4 linked regions of the Tribolium castaneum genome follow. Each later gene encodes a partner of the first gene's protein in a complex. Links are inferred from orthologs where the notes say so. Each region holds a gene or a part of one and is shown in the gene's direction. Other genes may lie near its edges. The genes, in order: Orc4, Orc5, Orc2 and Orc3.

The links.
Region 2: the proteins of Orc4 (region 1) and Orc5 are in contact, whole or in part, in a cryo-EM structure (PDB 7JPO), measured with the Homo sapiens proteins. The link is inferred for Tribolium castaneum from reciprocal best matches to the Homo sapiens genes ORC4 and ORC5. Residues at the interface, in NP_001177808.1 of Homo sapiens: Ser18, Gln21, Arg22, Arg25, Glu26, Cys29, Arg30, Gln31, Arg69, Thr74, Asn100, Leu102, Leu103, Gln104, Ile105, Ile109, Glu113, Arg116, Asp162, Arg277, Met281, Met284, Leu285, Asn288, Met311, Asp312, Ser313, Lys314, Asn316, Ile317; in NP_002544.1 of Homo sapiens: Ile17, Ser20, Leu21, Phe22, Gly23, Glu24, His26, His27, Phe28, Ser29, Phe30, Pro31, Tyr36, Gly37, His38, Thr39, Thr98, Phe99, Asn100, Val103, Arg104, Arg131, Glu134, Asn136, Pro139, Gly140, Arg143, Gln145, Glu146, Leu147.
Region 3: the proteins of Orc4 (region 1) and Orc2 are in contact, whole or in part, in a cryo-EM structure (PDB 7JPP), measured with the Homo sapiens proteins. The link is inferred for Tribolium castaneum from reciprocal best matches to the Homo sapiens genes ORC4 and ORC2. Residues at the interface, in NP_001177808.1 of Homo sapiens: Lys168, Asn169, Arg195, Glu200, Leu201, Lys204, Arg205; in NP_006181.1 of Homo sapiens: Asp501, Asp504, Tyr508, Ser512, Gln518, Glu522, Val554.
Region 4: the proteins of Orc4 (region 1) and Orc3 are in contact, whole or in part, in a cryo-EM structure (PDB 7JPO), measured with the Homo sapiens proteins. The link is inferred for Tribolium castaneum from reciprocal best matches to the Homo sapiens genes ORC4 and ORC3. Residues at the interface, in NP_001177808.1 of Homo sapiens: Pro370, Lys374, Glu377, Gln381, Ser392, Gly393, Asn394, Ser395, Gln396, Arg397; in NP_036513.2 of Homo sapiens: Thr227, His260, Arg261, Leu262, Leu263, Pro264, His265, Ala266, Ser269.

The regions. Positions count from the first base shown.
Region 1 is NC_087396.1:11,890,886-11,894,677, forward strand, and holds Orc4 (origin recognition complex subunit 4), read left to right. Parts: upstream 1-1,579; 5' UTR 1,580-1,651; coding exon 1,652-1,843; intron 1,844-1,896; coding exon 1,897-2,236; intron 2,237-2,289; coding exon 2,290-2,588; intron 2,589-2,617; exon of another isoform or gene 2,618-2,639; coding exon 2,640-2,981; downstream 2,982-3,792. Other genes in the region: kxDL motif-containing protein CG10681, read left to right, coding at 155-300, 355-700; receptor-type tyrosine-protein phosphatase F-like, read right to left, coding at 3,143-3,217, 3,298-3,433, 3,492-3,757. UniProt on the Homo sapiens protein: Component of the origin recognition complex (ORC) that binds origins of replication. DNA-binding is ATP-dependent. The specific DNA sequences that define origins of replication have not been identified yet.
Region 2 is NC_087395.1:24,006,815-24,010,808, forward strand, and holds the end of Orc5 (origin recognition complex subunit 5), read left to right. Parts: intron 1-614; coding exon of another isoform or gene 615-624; exon of another isoform or gene 625-1,310; intron 1,311-1,742; 5' UTR 1,743-1,772; coding exon 1,773-3,062; 3' UTR 3,063-3,089; downstream 3,090-3,994. Other genes in the region: uncharacterized protein LOC663028, read right to left, coding at 615-624. UniProt on the Homo sapiens protein: Component of the origin recognition complex (ORC) that binds origins of replication. DNA-binding is ATP-dependent. The specific DNA sequences that define origins of replication have not been identified yet.
Region 3 is NC_087397.1:6,381,843-6,386,015, forward strand, and holds Orc2 (origin recognition complex subunit 2), read left to right. Parts: upstream 1-1,614; 5' UTR 1,615-1,765; coding exon 1,766-1,772; intron 1,773-1,828; coding exon 1,829-2,014; intron 2,015-2,061; coding exon 2,062-2,940; intron 2,941-2,988; coding exon 2,989-3,222; intron 3,223-3,267; coding exon 3,268-3,467; 3' UTR 3,468-3,496; downstream 3,497-4,173. Other genes in the region: uncharacterized protein LOC655336, read left to right, coding at 57-259, 631-1,163. UniProt on the Homo sapiens protein: Component of the origin recognition complex (ORC) that binds origins of replication. DNA-binding is ATP-dependent. The specific DNA sequences that define origins of replication have not been identified yet.
Region 4 is NC_087398.1:1,395,153-1,399,973, forward strand, and holds Orc3 (origin recognition complex subunit 3), read left to right. Parts: upstream 1-1,686; 5' UTR 1,687-1,835; coding exon 1,836-1,862; intron 1,863-2,045; coding exon 2,046-2,189; intron 2,190-2,241; coding exon 2,242-2,520; intron 2,521-2,569; coding exon 2,570-3,055; intron 3,056-3,104; coding exon 3,105-3,416; intron 3,417-3,463; coding exon 3,464-3,754; intron 3,755-3,800; coding exon 3,801-4,031; intron 4,032-4,091; coding exon 4,092-4,276; intron 4,277-4,337; coding exon 4,338-4,440; 3' UTR 4,441-4,486; downstream 4,487-4,821. UniProt on the Homo sapiens protein: Component of the origin recognition complex (ORC) that binds origins of replication. DNA-binding is ATP-dependent. The specific DNA sequences that define origins of replication have not been identified yet.

The DNA.
Region 1 (3,792 bases):
TCTCTTCTTTTGAAGTGAACGTCAAAACTTACTAACCTCAAATCAAATGTCAAAATGACAGTTTATTAAAAAACTACTAGAAAACTATTACAAAGTTCTATAATTATTATAAATTAATGAAACATGGTTTGAAGATTTTCGAAGCTAACGCAAAATGGATGACAGCAAGGGCACCCCCGAGAGTGATTTCAGTATTGAATGTTTTCAAAACTACACAGCCCCCGAGGTCTTTATCCAAGGCCTAGCTGGGATAGTTGATCAACAGGATGTCGAATCGATGATAAGAGCGCAAAAACAGATGTACAAAGTTTGTAATTATAATTTTGCAAGTCATTCATGATCGTTCCATTCAAGGTTACAAAGATTCGAAAAAACTAATGAGATGCTCACTAATTGCAATGCGTTAAGTGCGAACCGGTTAAAAACGATTGCACCCGAGTTCAAAAAACACACACAGCTGTTGTTAGAGATGAAAAAAGACTTGGACTATATTTTTAAGAAAATTCGTGCTATTAAAACTAAACTCTCAACGCAGTATCCCGAGGCGTTTGCCGAGGCTGTGAGGAGCAGTCTTGCTGAGGAGTGTGAAGAAGACGAGGATTTGAACGAGAGCAGTGCTCAGAACAAGAAGGACAATAGACGGAGTCTTCATTTGAAAAGGACTGAAAATGTTGAAGTCGAAAGGAGGGCTTCTCAATAAAATTTAGCTTATTACAAACTAATTTATTTAATTAAGAAGCATATTTTTGTGTAAATAATTGTGCTTTTTTCACAAATTCTGAATTCATGTTTCTGTACTCTTCTGCGATTTCGGCCATTAAAGGATCTTCTGGATTTGGAGTCTCCAAAAGCATTCTTATCGCTATCAGCAAACCTTCCAATCCTATTGTGGGCCTCCAACTGCCCTTAGGCGGCATTTTTATTAAATCTAAACAAATTCTCCCGTTGTCATCAATATTGGGATGATACATTTTCGTAATAAATTTGATTGAAGGTGGAATAAAGGGGTACTTCTCAGGGATTAAAATTTCCACTTTAAAAATTCCGTTTTTGTACGGGGTGTTATCGGGGCCAACAATTTGAGCTTCCAGTACATTTAGCTTATCGTCTTTGGGCGATACACTAATACCCACAGGGGGAGAGTTTGATATTTTCGCCAATTCACGAGATAAACGTTGGTGTTGCATTTTTAATTAACACAAAAAGACCAAGAACAATTTATAACCTCATTTCAACACACCACTTGTAAACCCAAAAAACAAAACTGGTAGTTGGAATATTATAAAGTAAAGCTTTCCTTATGCATTCCGACACGAGTTCTTAAGTGTTATCACATTTTTAATTTCAAAAAAATTGTTCACACATTTTTGGCGCTCAATCACAATGCAATTGAAAATTTATCACTCCGAATACTTACAAAACCGAATTCTAATTTTATTAACCGGTCAGCGTTTTGTATTAAAGATTTAGTAAAATATATAAGTGGCAGTAACAAGACACGTATGAAAATAAAGTATATGGTCAGTAAATGTAATAAAAGCAAATTCGGTTCTAAGCAAAATCGATCAAAATTAGCAGAAGTCAATGCGCGGGAAAAGATTTATGTTGGTCGCTCTGCGTGTTGACAACAAGTGTCAAAGTTGTTTTTAAAATGAAGAATTTAAGTGATAAAAACGTACTTAATCTACGTAAATTCCTCAAGAACAACATTTTAAACAACAGTGATTTCGTGGGTCATGAAGATGAGCGCCAACAAGTGTTTGATTTGTTACACAGGACCATCACTTCAGGAGAGTCAAATTCGGCGTTACTCATAGGCCCCCGTGCTTCCGGAAAAACAACAGTGAGTCTCTGAATAACCCTTTGAAACCACTTTATAGCATTGTTGTTAACTAGTTAGTTGACAATGTCTTGCGGGACTTGCAACCGTATTTTTCATCAGACGCAATACTGGTAAAATTGCATGGTCTAATCCACACAGACGATCGTATAGCTTTGAAAAGCATAACAGCGCAAATGAATCTAGAAAACGCCGTTGATGGCAAGGTTTTTGGGAGTTTTGCTGATAACTTAACGTTTCTGTTGGCGTGCTTAAAGTCAGGCGAGAGGGGCGTTTCAAAGAGCATTATTTTTATCATTGAAGAATTCGATTTGTTTTGTTCACATCACAACCAGACCTTGCTGTATAATCTGTTTGATGTGTCCCAGTCAGCACAAACACCAATTTGCGTTTTAGGTGCGTTATAACTATTTTTATTCCAGTTTGAAGTAATTTCCAAAATTTTGTAGGCATTACTTGTAGATTAGACGTGATAGAATTGTTGGAAAAACGTGTCAAGTCTAGGTTTTCCCACAGACAGATTTTCCTGTTTTTAGGAAATGATAATGAGAATCATTTAGATCAAAGACTGGCACGGTTACAAAAATATTTTTTGGTTCCAATTCAACAGTCATTAAACATTGTTCCATCGTTTAAAAAACAGTGGAATTCGAGTGTTCACACTTTACTTAAGGACAGGAATTTTAAATCTCTCATGCAACGACTTATAGATTTAGACTTGAGTGAGCGAAGTTTGAAAAATATTTTGGTAAGGATTGGACAAAGTAAAGACAATCACTTTAAAAACGATTTATTTTAGCTGCTTGTGGTGTCTGAACTTAACGATGTTAACAATAAATTAGCGTACGATACGTTTTTAAAACAAATAGAATTGTTCGAGAGAGATGAGACAGTTCAAGTGTTGCAAGACTTAAGCGTGCTTGAACTGTGTTTAATAATAACAATGAAACATCATTGTGAAATCTACGACAATCAGCCGATGAATTTTGAAATGGTCTTTAACAGATATCTAAAGTTTGCAAACGCTAATTCCAATATTCAAACCGTTGAAAGGCCTGTAATAATGAAAGCTTTTGAGCAAATAGAAGTGAGTAAAATATCGTTATTATTTCTTCTATCTACATCCAAAATCATTTTTTAGAATCTTGAGCTCATCTCTCCGTTAACCACCGGCAATTCTACGGTACAAAAGGAGTATCAACTGTTTAAGTTGCTAGTCCTTCCTCACCAAATAACAGAAGCTGTTAAAAAAATAACTGGGTTACCAACGGAAGTAACTCAGTATGCCAACAGTTCCTTAGTTTAGTTAAAATTGTGATAATTATCGAACTCCTCAACGTATAATTTTGCAGCTTTGTACAAAAACTCAACCTGGCCCTAAAATAAATTTTATTTTAATTAAAAATTGTTTTCATGCGGCACATAATACGAGAGTGTATTACGTGTTGCTGACCTACCCATTCCTGGACAAATTGCTCCCGACTTTGCCTCACGGCCCTAATAGCGGAGAAAACATCACATTCCTGCTCGTAATTAATTTTTTCGAGGAGAAAAGCAAGGGCGACAAACAGGCCACTAGCGGTGGCACCGTCGCTAAAAATTAAATTTTTCGAAAATATTTTTTTTTAATCGGACGATTATGTATGCTTACTAGCAAGTGACAACAATCTGACTAGTGCCCTTCCACGAGTTACTGAACATTTCCCTCCAGACCATAATTAAGTCTTTGACGTTTTTTGGCTGTGGAGTTTCGCGTTTCCAGTTCTTAAGTTCCAAGACATTGATGATTTTGTCGACAGATGTGTCGCGCTTGTCCATAATTTTTAATTTTGTGGTGGAATAGGTTTTATTGTTGTTTTCCTCTAAGATTTCTAGACTTGTGGAGTCGGTATCAAGTGCCCAAAATTTGGGACAGCGCTGAAAATTACAATTAAAGCATGTTGTGGTTTTTT
Region 2 (3,994 bases), on another chromosome or scaffold:
GAAAATTAAATTTCGGCAAATATTTTCGTTTTATAACGGTTTAATTTTTAAGTTAGTTGAAACCCAAATAAAATAAAGAGCTTGAGCTCAAAATTGGAAGAATTCCAAATTTTTGTGCGCTGTAGCAACAAAACCGAATTTTTTGCTGAAAGCTAATCTATTTTTCAGACCAAACTCCAACTACATAACAGAATTATCAGCAATTTGGGAAGATTTCATTATATTGTTACAAATGGTTCAGTTACTTTGCAAATTCGGAGGTAATTATAACCGTTAATAAAAAAGTAACCGAATTAAGTTCGCATTACGAGCAATTTTTTCCGTAAATTTCCGAAATTTCATGGTCCAAACATCACAAGCCACTTATCCTAATGCATTTAGTCGTTTATTGCCCCACCGTGCGTCTCCTATCAATAGATCTGTGACAAGCCGATTTTTTATGTGTCCATAAAGCAACCTCCCCCAAGTCTATAACTCTTTATAACGTCAAAGAAGGGCCAGTTTCTCTTCAGCGTCGTTTATATATCTCGTCCTTAATCCAGTCGAGATCACATTAAATATTTGTCGTCGGCGGCGGTAAGCAAAGCAAAGAATGGAAGGGAAAAATCGCTCACCCTTTTCCATCGTCACTCAATCGCGCCGTAATGTCATTTCTTTATTTATCTTGGAGCAAGAAATCACATCGCGTCGCGGCGGCAGCGTCGCGGTGCGTCTTCCCAACGTCCTTTTTTTGGTCGGTGTGTGGCGTGGCAGTGGTGCTTTTACGAACACAAGTCGCGGCGGCAGATGATCGTCTTCGCGAGCACGAATCTCGACTGCAGGAGGCTCGAGGTCACAACCGCTTCCACCAGGAGTCTGCAAGCGGGTCGCAAATCGATGAGGGCGGACTACGCAAGCTCCACTGTCACTGGCGCCCCGCACACACCATTTTTTAGACACTATCGCCCCGCAATCGGACATTAGACGCACTTACTTCGACGATAATTACCCAAAGAAGAAGTTTTGACGAAATGAAGGCGACGAGAATGGCGACTTGCACAACGGGGCTTTCGCGTGTAAATCAAGAGATAATCGAAGAAAGTCGATGGGAAGGAGATGGTATTCCGGGCACGCTTCCCATCGTCCGGAATTGATGGCGACGTGAGCTTTTGTTGGGCGGGCGAAAGGCTACGATACACTTTTTCCTCGGTCGGATTAGTAATTTGATGCGGATATTGCATTCGTGTGTTTGGTATCGATTCTTTGGAGGAGAAATGTTTCGGAATGGGATTGTTTTGCCGGACGGCTACTGACGTAGATTTAATAAATCATTTTTTCGATTAATTGGAGGAAAAATTGGACAAAGTCTACAGAGCACTCGAACTGAGAAATGCGATGTTCTTGCCAAATTTAAATTATTTATTTAAATGCAACCAAAATGTTATTCCAGAAACGTATGGCTCGCAGCAAGACAAGAAAAGTCGTGGTTTTGTCTTGAAATTAGTACCAAGACCGAAATTATTAGTGTGAAATATTCAAGAACTTTGGTCCAAAAAAAGCTTATGAATTTTTCAAGATTAACCACCCCCCTCTTTGTCACCAAGACGATTTTTGCTGACGTTTTTCAAAATTAATAATGAACCGGAACATCAATTGTTATTAAAATGTCCACGGATGATTTTTCTACTGGAGCCAAGTTAAGAGTGTTTGACAGTAGATTAGATGAAATATGTTTTTGGTTTGGCATTATGACATTTGAGCAGAGGATTTGTTCTGGTTGCAGGTTAATAGCGATGATGTCCACACTATCTCGCCTGGAGTCGACTTTGCCCTGTCGCTCCTCCCAAATAGGCCAACTTTATAATCTCTTCGGGCACAACGAGGAGCCGTTTCCTGGCAGCGTTTACATTAGCGGAGGTCCGAGCGTCGGCAAATCCATTGTTGTTAGTCGAGTTTTGGAGGAAGTTGGTGTTAAGCATGCAGTTATCAATATGATCGAATGCTACACCAGTAAAATCCTGTACGAGACGATTTTGAGCAAGCTTTGTGGCTTAGTGGATACGAAATGCGAGAACATGATGGATTTCATTGATCATTTGCAGCGGAATCGGTCCGAAATACACCGATCTGTGCTAATTATCGACAAAGCCGACAAGCTCCGGACTATGGATTTCAACATATTTCCGGGATTTCTCAAACTCAAAGAGCTCACCGGAGGGATTCACATAAGCGTCATTTTCCTCTCACAAATCATCCTTCAGAAGTTCTATTCCAAAACTAACATCGTCGAGCCGATTCAAATCACCTTTCCTCAATACAACAAAGATGAATTACTGGAGATCCTCACGTTGGATATCGATTATGCCCGAAATCTGATTATCAATAATGCGAAAGGTGGAGGGTTTGAATTTGACGTCGACTTTTATCGAAATTACTTGAATGTTTTTCTTTCGGTTTTTTATCGAAACTGTCGGGACTTGACAGAACTTCGTTATATCGCCAGAAGTAACTTTCTCAACTACTGTCAACCGATCATCAGTAAAGAAAACACCATCAGCGATTCGCTGGCTTTGTGGAGAAAAGTCGCACCCACTCTCAAACAAGCCCTGCAGAATCTCTATCTGAGAGTCTCAACAGTCACTCTACCGCAGAGCCTCGAACTGCCCTTCTATGCCAAATATCTACTAATTGCTGCCTATCTAGCCAGCTATAATCCTGCAAAGGACGATAAGAGACTGTTCATGAAGTATCACGGAAAGAAAACGAAAACTTTGAGAGATGTTAAGAAGAAAAGTAAAGTGAGCGAACAGCTGAACACTGTCCTGGGACCCAAACCCTTCAGTTTTGATAGATTGCTGGCGATTTTTTATTCCATAGTTGAGGACAAAGTCGGTTTTAATAACAATCTATTGGTACAAGTGTCAAGTCTAGTGGAACTGCAATTGCTATCGAGCTTATCCGATAGTTCAAGCCTGGATGGAGCCAAATACAAATGTAACGTCAACTTTGATTTCATCCAAACAGTGTGCAAGATGGTGGGTTTCAACATTCGCAAATATTTGAGTGATTTCAGTCACATGTGAATGAGTTAATACATTTTTCTAATATAAGATTGATTTTTTCTTTATGCCCGTCCTTCGGAAGTTAAATCACTTAGCTCTATGATGCGCCTTGTTTTACGATTGGTCCGATTTTTACTATTGGTTATCGAGGCGAACGTTTATAGCTGGAAGTTACGAGGTAGGTAAGGAGTGTGGGTGTCTCGAGAGGATTGTCTTCTTTTTGCCAAAGGGGAAATCAGAGCTTGGCTCGGTAAACGCAGTAAAAGCATCGTCAATGGATATTCACGGAGTGTCTTAAAAAAATCGCGCAAGGGATGTAATAAGCTGCTAATGCGAGGTTACGACCGCGCGTATATCAAATTTGATGGTATTGACGGAGGAATTATGTCATTAGGCCGCGGCCTCGATGCAACGATCGATGCGTTTCATTGTGTGTAGGGCACAGCGGGTACAAACGTTGGGGGTAACGGGACGGAGCGGGATTGATGGGCCAGTCGGCGTTTGATGAATGATATTTTAACTGTTCATTGTCCATACTGAGGGGAATTCGCAATTTGCGGGTATTTTATTTCGGTTTATTTGGTTCGGGACGGCTGATGATTGGATAATAATTATTAATTGTTGGCAATTAAGGAAGTAAAGTTTGGTGAAATTATATTGACCTAGTGACGTGGTGAACAATATAATATGGTTTCGAGCGTTTCAGCTGTGACAGAGTTTTTCTTTATAAATTAGATGAATCAAACCAGCCGCATTTAGTTTATAATTACAAAATATTATTTTGCTTTTACATTGTCAAATTATGAAACGATTCGGTTGTGTCGGAGGCTTGGTCTGCCAAACGAGCTTGATAAAAATCACCATAATTCTCCATATTTAAAATTCTTCTTTAGTTTCCCTTAGATTCCATCCAGATTATTCTTTGGCATTGTGTCTGTTTTCTTCTCTAGATT
Region 3 (4,173 bases), on another chromosome or scaffold:
TAGGTCAACAGTTTGGGGTGAAATAATCAATTTTAATTGTGGTGTTTGGAATTCAGGCTAGATTTTGAACAGAGCGCTTTCTCACCGACTGAATTAGATGATAGTTTCATGTATTATTATCGCAGTAAAACACGAGGTTTTAATGACACACAAAATCAAACACTTGCGGCGAACTTGAAAGACAAAAATTGGACTGGGGCCCAGCCCGATTTTTCCAAACACACCCCCTATTGCCAGAAGTTTCTCCAGAACTCGATTGGTAAGTTATCTCAATTATCACTTATCACTGACGCAAATTTTCAAATGTTGACTGAATTTTTTATCGCACTATTTGCTTCAAAATCGCGATAAATGTTTTACGTAACGCTGTTTACTACGTCCCAACTCTTTGTGTTTTTAACCACACTTCATTGTTAATTTTGCACCACGTGTCCACAATAAATAATTCCAAGTGAATTCTTTGTTTTCCTTTCGTTAATATGTGGCCACCCGGTATTGAAACTTATCTAACGCAAACAAGTCTAAATCCAGTTCATTGTTGAATGGCCGTCCGCGCGCACCATGGAGCCCCTCCCCTTGACCGGTAACGCCATTCCCTTGGTGGTAACAGCCCCATATGGTCTTTTCCAGATAGTACCACGGCCCAACAGGTCCGCTTCCCCTCCGCCACCAAGACCAAGTCCAGTGGCGTGGACGACGGTTTCAAAGGCGAGGCCGCGAAATGCGGCACTTCTGTGGTGCGAGTGGCCCACCAGATGGTGTTAGGGAAAGCCATCCGTGGCTTTGACATCCAGAAAAAAGATTGTGATTTGCCCCCAGAGGGTTTCAACCCTTCGTTACGTCGAGGGAGCAAGTCGTTGCCCGCGTCGCCCCTGACGTCCCCCAACTCGTCCCCGAAAAGCACGCGACGCGTGAACAAATACTTCACGGGGCCTTTTGTCGACTCCGAACACCAGGGCAGTTGGATTTTGTCGAATTTGTTGGCCAAGAGGCAGAATTTGTCACAGAGTATGGGCTTTATCGCTGAAGAGGAGAAGGAGATGAAGAGGACAGAGTCGAATTTGAGTGTGGATGAGGTGTCGAATGGCAAGAGGAGTCAGGTGTTTGTACCCAAACCGTCAGAACTTAGGGAAATGAATTTTTGGTCTCCCACTTCCATGTGAAGTGGGCACATTTAATGTTGTCTAAGCAATATCTTTAATTTTTAGTTGGTTTCTTTTAGACATTGATTATTTTTGTAACTGTAATCATAATGCTCATTAAATTTATTTAAGTACACCAAAATCGTGTTTTAATGCCGCAAGATCGACCTCAAAGTCGCTAGTTATTTTAGAACACCCGTGGGTGGTATAAATAGAATTTGTTCTACGACTCGGGTTTTGGCGGGGTTACTTCCAAAAAACGTTTCCATGAGGTAATTAGGGGGCCACATGCTCGGAATAAAAAGCCAAAAAAAAAATATATAAATTCACACCAATATGATAACTTGACCGAGACTATCCAAATAATAGCAATTGTTAGTTGGTAAAGATTACTAGCATAGTAAATTATGCTGAAATTTCGTCCAAACGTTGCTTTTTACTCTACATACAGCTTTCCAAAAAATTTTAAAAATGACTAAATGTCAAGTGTATAATTGGTTGCATAGTCACTTTGTTTTAATTTTAAGTTTGGAGGGCGCCAAACGTTTTAATATCGAAATATTAGCAACAATTTGCACTAAACTTTAATTATAATTGCTGCTTAAGGTTACTAGTGGTCTGAAATGGCAGGTTTGTACCAATTTCTCTCTTATTTGACCTGAGAACCCACCTAACCTCAATTTTAGACGACTGTGCAGACCCTGAGTTATTTTCGCCCCGCAGGGGTTCCCGGCAACGCAATTTGAGTCTAAAAGCTAAAGAATACGTATCTACTTCCAGTAGGAGGAAACGTGGCTTTAAAAAACTGAATATTTCTACAGCAACTGAGTCTGAGGACGATTCCAATTGTGAGAGTAGTGAAAAACCAACAGGTGGACCATTTGCCTGTTGTATAACTTCCTTCATGAGTTTTTTGTAGTTTTGCACGATAATGACCATGTCCCTGGTGATAAATTATTCACGTTTCAAACGCGCAAAAAGTGCGAAGTCGTTCAACAAACGCCGCACGCTTTTAGGGACAAAATGAGGAAAAATATCGTGGCGAAAATTTTGGAAGAGAATGGTTCGAGCGGAGATGATTTTTCAGCCAGTGAGAGTGAATTCGAAGTGTCTGAGGAAAATTCAGAGGAGTCTTCCAGCAGTGACGACACACCGCCTCCCCCGCAAAACAAAAATATTAAACCCACTTTAGGAGCGAGAAAAGTCAATTACACTATAAAAACAGACGATTATTTCGCACAACACGCCAGTAAAAAAACTCTAACGTCCAATCACACTTTAGATAAGTTGGAGACACCAAGACTGCCGCAAGACCAACTGCATAAACTTTTGTCGAGAGTTAGCCTAGGGTGTGAGCATGAAAAAGCCACGAAAAAATTAATCGAGACGAATTGCGCCTATTTTGATAAGTGGATGTATTTGATGCATGAAAATTTCAATATTTTGTTGTATGGGTTGGGCTCAAAGAAGGGCGTTTTGAATGCTTTTCACGAAAAGTGTTTGAAGAAGTTGCCAACGGTTGTCGTGAACGGATTTTTCCCTTCATTATCAATTAAAGATGTCCTTGACGGGATTATTTTAAATTTACTAGAACTGAAGGAAAATCCCTCAAATATTTACGAGGCCTGCGACCTTATCGAGCGCGAATTTAGTTTTATTCCCGAAACTCATTTATACCTCATTGTGCACAACATCGACATGATGCGGAGTGGAAAAGCCCAAAGTGTCTTTGCAAGACTCGCGTCAGTCAATAACATTCATCTAATCGCGTCAATTGACCACATAAATGCCCCCCTAAGTAATGAAAAATTCTAGTAGTGCGCAAAAACTTTGATTGTTGTTTTAGTTTGGGACCATTCCAAAATAAGTAAATTCAATTTCACGTGGTGGGACGTTACCACTTTCCAACGCTATATTGACGAAACGTCCTTCGAAAGCTCAATGTTGGTCCAAAGGACCGGAAACCTGGCCTTATCATCGCTTCGGAACGTTTTCTTATCACTGACGAGCAACTCCAAAGGAATTTACTTAATCCTCGTCAAGTATCAAATCGAAAATGGCAAAAAACAATACTATCAAGGTGATTTATCAGTTTGTGCGTTCAAAACTGATTGATTTGTTGCAGGCCTGGCGTTTAAAGACTTGTACTCTTTGTGCCGCGAGGCATTTTTGGTGAGTTCGGACCTGGCATTGCGGGCCCAACTCACCGAATTCGTGGACCACAAAATGGTGAAGTTCAAGAGAGCGCCAGACGGGACTGAGTATTTGATAATCCCGATTGCAAACGCGTTATTACAGCAATTTTTAAATGAACATTCCGGTTGATTGTATTTTCCAATAAAAATTTAAGTTGGCGCTCGCGTTTGAATCACCTGCTGCCATCTTCGTGGAAGACAGTCGAACTAAAAAACAAGATGGTTTCGCAGTGCTGAATTTTATTTGAGTCAAAAAATCGAATTTTTCGCTTGGTTCAGACGATCATTGTTCGAATTGTACGCAAAAATGTTATTGTGTGTCGTTTCGATATGTCGCCGCCGTGAAGGCGCATGAATGCGTGGTGAATTCCTGGGTGAGTATCATATGTTTATTTTTGAAGGTTATCTTTTGTTGGTGCTTCCACTTTTCGGGTCGTTGGGACACGCGAGGGGGCCGAAATGGCCCCAATGTGGCTGCTCGTAACTGTGCCGAAAGCCGGCCGAGGCGGTGTGAGAATGACCGGAAATTGTGGCAATTTGTAAATAAAAACAAACAATCCGTTTTATCTCTCGGTGTGAACTTTCCAAGGTTAAACCGTCTGCGTGCACGGGGGTGGCAGCCAGTGCGAGGCTTTAGCCCCCCGCGTTATTAATTGACTCCGTTTTGCTCCGGACAGACATTGTTAAGTAATTCAACAAATCCGGGTCAGGCCAAGGGCTACATTAATTCAATATATTGACACACTATCCTTACCTGCTTTTCTTCAAAGAATATCATCGTTTTGTGAATAGTGTATCAGAAAAGTCACGTCCGAGCTTGATTCGGACGCCGTGTT
Region 4 (4,821 bases), on another chromosome or scaffold:
TTTATGAGCCTCCGGTTTCTGTAACTTATCGAAAAGACATCTGTTCCATAAATGCTGCTTAACTGCCTGCAGAGAAACTCTTTTCACGAAAATTGCAATATTTTGTTAATTATGCAACGAGTTAATAAAATACGAAGTAGTGTATTTTTGTCTGTTTTAAAACATGTCACAAATTTTGGCGTGGGTTTTTTTATATTTTATAGACCGTTTATCATTATTCAAAATTTTAATACAACTGACACATTTTTGGCCCAAATGACCCACTCAGTATCGCGGTGCCTTCCACACAAATACTATTATAATCCAAATTAGAAAAATCTGGCGACAGTTACAGCTACAGTATAACTGTTTTTGATTTATGAATTGGCAGTATACGGAGGTGTCGAGTCAACATATCACTCTGTTTGCCTTATTTGGATAAACGAGTTTCTTCAAGAATAAACAAAACATTGGTTTGTTTATTCTTGGAACATTATGGCAAAAAATAAACAATTTGATACAATTTTTAGGGAGTTAAGCCTCTGTTTTTCCACACGTGATTGTTGCTTTTGTTTTATGTTTCAAGAAACCGTGCAATTATTTCTTTATCAGTCAAACATCGCAAAGTTATACACTTCACCTGCAGAGTAATACGATGACACATCATGTTTCAGAGCAATTTTAAAACCTTATACCTGCTGTGCTTACAAAATGCACTCTGCAGATGGCCAATACCGTAAAACGTGAACCACCTCAAATTAAGTATTTACATAATTAAGTAAGTAACCATGGGTATGTAAAGTATACCTTGACATTAATTTAAAAACTCTTTTCGGTGGGTTTTTTTCGATAAAATCTAAAATGGAAACGCTTCAAAGCACTAGTAATATTTTTTATTCTTGCGTTGTTTAATTATTTAACATCTCATAGTCATAACTCATAACTAGAGTTAGGTGTTTAGTGTTGCCTTGATTTTTGCTCTTGTTCTAATAACGTCTGGCTACAGATTAATAGGTTAATAGGTAGCCAAGCTTGCAAGATGCTATTTTAGCAGATGAACATAATCGTAAGCTGAATATATGGAGTGAGGAAGTTCAATGCTACTACGTATAATAAATAGAACGTTAGATTATGGAAAGGTCTGTGTCAGATTACAAAGTTTACTGAAATTTAAATAAAATGTTGGGAGTTCCACTGTACTTAACTCTGACGGAAGTACACTTTCCTGCTTTAGGAGTGCATTAAATTAGTAATAATTTTTTTATTTATATATTATTTTTATTTATTTATTTATTATTTATTTTTTGCTTGATACACCTAATAAAGAAAGATCTCTCGTGCGCTAAATTATTTTTTTATGGATGCGATTTTCTTAACTATACCGTAACTAGCTATCCTCTCCCTCAAAATGTTTTTTTTTGAAATTCTTATAATCAGTTATTATTTATTTCAGAAAAAAAATAAAAAATACAAGTTACAATGTTACAATTTACAAATTCTTTACACGCCACAATAAAGCTTTTGAGCATGCAACCAACAATACAGTGATAATATTTTTAGTTTTATTTAATTTTTGATTAACACAAATTAATTTAGCACAGCCATAATTGGATATATTTAGTGTGACACAGCACAGTAATATTTTTAATCAAAATTTGTATTTTTTACTTTTATGGTTTTGGAAACTTTTCATAAAAAGCGCCACCAGCTTCAAAATGGCTCGTAATGTCAAATGTCATTTTTCAAATTGTTGTTTGTTGTAACAATTGTAACTTATTTGTGATTACTGAACAATTTTAATCTAAAAAATTTATTTAGTTTTACGCAATAGAGTTACGTGAATATTGTTTATTGAAATGGCTGCGACCGTGTCCGTTTCAAAGGTAATATTCGAAACCTAACCTGAAAACTTGTGTTAAAATTGCGCTATTTTTCCTTTGTAACACTCTTTTATCAACGTTTTCCGCCTCTGATATGCGTACTTAACACTAGTTTATTGCAAAATCAAGATTCAGTCGTACTGAGATTGCATTTAATGATTGTTCACAATTTGGCGCCAATTTCAGGGTGTTTTTGTCTTCAAAAATGGGGCTAAAGCAGCTTCAAAAAAATCCAGAACGAAAGACAAACGTACCCAGAGTCTCTACTGTGATAGCTTGTGGTATAAAACTTACAAGTCTTTGTGGGAATCAATCGAAACCCAAATTCAAGTACTAATCCTCACTTTCGTGCGCTAAGTATTTTTTATTTGATTTATTTTAGGAATTAAATAACGCCATGTTTTCCAATATCCTTTGTAGTTTAGTAAATTTTCTCAAAAACTGTTACAAAGACACAGTGAGTGAAATCCCAGCCGCAGCTTTACTCACTGGCATAAACATGCCCGACCATTCAGTCCAATTCAAAACGCTCAAAAAAGAAATCAAACGCTCAATAACACCACACGTTGTTACTCTCAGTGGCGAGGATTGCCACAGTTTGAAATATCTCGTTGAAATAATGGTCAATCAATTAGTCAAAAGCGAACAACTTATAGATGAGGTAAGAAAGTAAAAGGCGTTTCGTTTCAATGATGCAATGATTTCCGAAGGATTCTGACTCAGACACGCGCCAGATTAAAAAATCACAGTGCAGTTTCACACTTCTCCAGGCCTGGTATGAGGAACTCTACCAACCTCCAGGAACCGCCAACTCGCCAAAAAAGCAAAAAACCAAACACAATAAAAACATAATCGTTGTTATAATCCCCGATTTTGAGAATTTTGCCCCGAAAGTGTTGCAAGATTTTATCCAAATCGCGAGCTCGTATCTAAACGTTTTACCCTTTGTCTTTGTTTTTGGAGTTGCGACGTCCCTTAACGCCGTTCATCGGTCACTCCCTTGTTACGTTTCCTCGCGCATTAACATCCAGGTTTTTCACTCAACTCCCTCCACGGTTTATTTGAACAACATATTGGAGAATATTTTATTTTCGCGCCAGTGCCCCTTTCACTTAGGCGGCAAGGTTTTTAATTTATTCACCGACATTTTCCTATTTTACGATCTTTCAGTCAGCGGTTTTATCCAGAACTTTAAGGTGATTGCGCCGAAAATTGTGTCACTTTTTCGTGAAATTTTGGTTTTAGTACGCCATGCTTGAGCATTTTTGTTACGGCAATGTTATGGCCCTCTGTCAGAGGAAACACATCAAGCAAATTATCTCCGATTTCTCGCACGATGATCTCGAAAATGCTCGTCGGTTGATGTCGTTCCGAAAACTGGTCGAGAGTGAATCCCCGGAAGCCCGAATCGCGCTCCTGACTGATGATAATTATTTCAGAAATGTTTTGCTGCGGGAAGTGCGCAAAATTGTGGCGTATTTGCCGAATTTGCACTTGTTTTTGAGGTGCTTGCACGTTCTTGTGGGGGATTTACCCAAAGCGCCTTTGGGGAAACAGGTGTCAAGTATTTTCATTGCAATCGTCAAATTAACTAGGTTTTGAAGGTTCGTGAACTGTACGCGTGTGCCGTTTCACGAAATATTACCAAAAGTCAGGAATATAAAGAGTGTTTCCAACTACTGGCGTTTCAATCGAGGGACGAATTGTGTAACAAAGTGAAAAGAATCACGGATTTAATTGTTAATAACAGTGAGGGTTTGGAAGTGGGGCGTGTGATAACCGATAGGCTTAACCGTTTTTTGGATAATTTACACAATCTTGATCAGGAAGAAGACGAAAATGAGGTGGCCCAAGAGGGCATAAGTGAACTAATGGGGAGATTACAACTCAGAGAGGTTTTTTCCGGTGATTTTTTATTACGTGTCTAGTTTTTTCTTCCAGAAATTGCTCCAAATGTCGAAGCAAAACAAACCGATGAACAAATACGAGAAAATCCGCTCAGGCTTACTCAATTTTTTGTCCGAACAGTTCGAAATATATTTACAGGAACCGACCGATTTTCACTTTCACGAAATTTTCTTCTTTAACGACATTTCAGTCCAGACTCACATCATAGGCTCTCACAGGGCGGCTATTCACACAGCGCTCAATGACCCCCACGTTTATTTACAGGTAATTATTTTTTTACAATACTTGTGTTAACACGAAGGGGAAAATACTGTATTGTTTTAGTGTCCTTGCTGCGAAATTGCCACCGATTCTGTGATCCTTCCCTCAATGCCTGACATCAGTATCGTCTACAAACTCCACTTAGAGTGTGGGAAAATGATTAATTTGTACGACTGGCTCCAGTCTTTCCTTAGTATTGTTGACCCACAGGAGACTGAAGACAACCCGAAAGTCAGTCCTCAGTTGCAGTATCCTTTTTTTGTTTTTATTTTATTTTTTTTAATAAAATTTGACTTAACGCACATTTAGGGCCCGATTTACGCAGGCTGTAGCCGAACTGGAGTATTTGGGATTCATCAAGAGCTCCAAAAGGAAGACTGACCATGTGGCCAGACTCACTTGGGGTGGCTAATTTTTTCTACCAATGTCTTTATATTTATTAAATTTTTCTACCAATACTTTCGCCAATAATTTAAACCCACTGTTTAATGGACTCTTTTATGCCTTTACAACCCTCTGAAGTTGTTAAAAGTACAGAAAAAAAATCATAGCTTGTTTTTTTAATTTTTTCAGATATAGTTTTTGTGCAATACGTCCAGAACTGCGGGAAATGGGTTGAATGAAACCAGTTAATAGGTTGATGGAATGTAGGTGTCTTTATTAAAAAAATGTAAACACAGTCGTACAAATATTTTAGATTCGTTGCATTGAAAACATTTGTTTCAATTTACATATGACAAAAAAATGATTGCGTCTTAGGACATGTGACTGAGTAAAGTGGCCCCTAAATGTC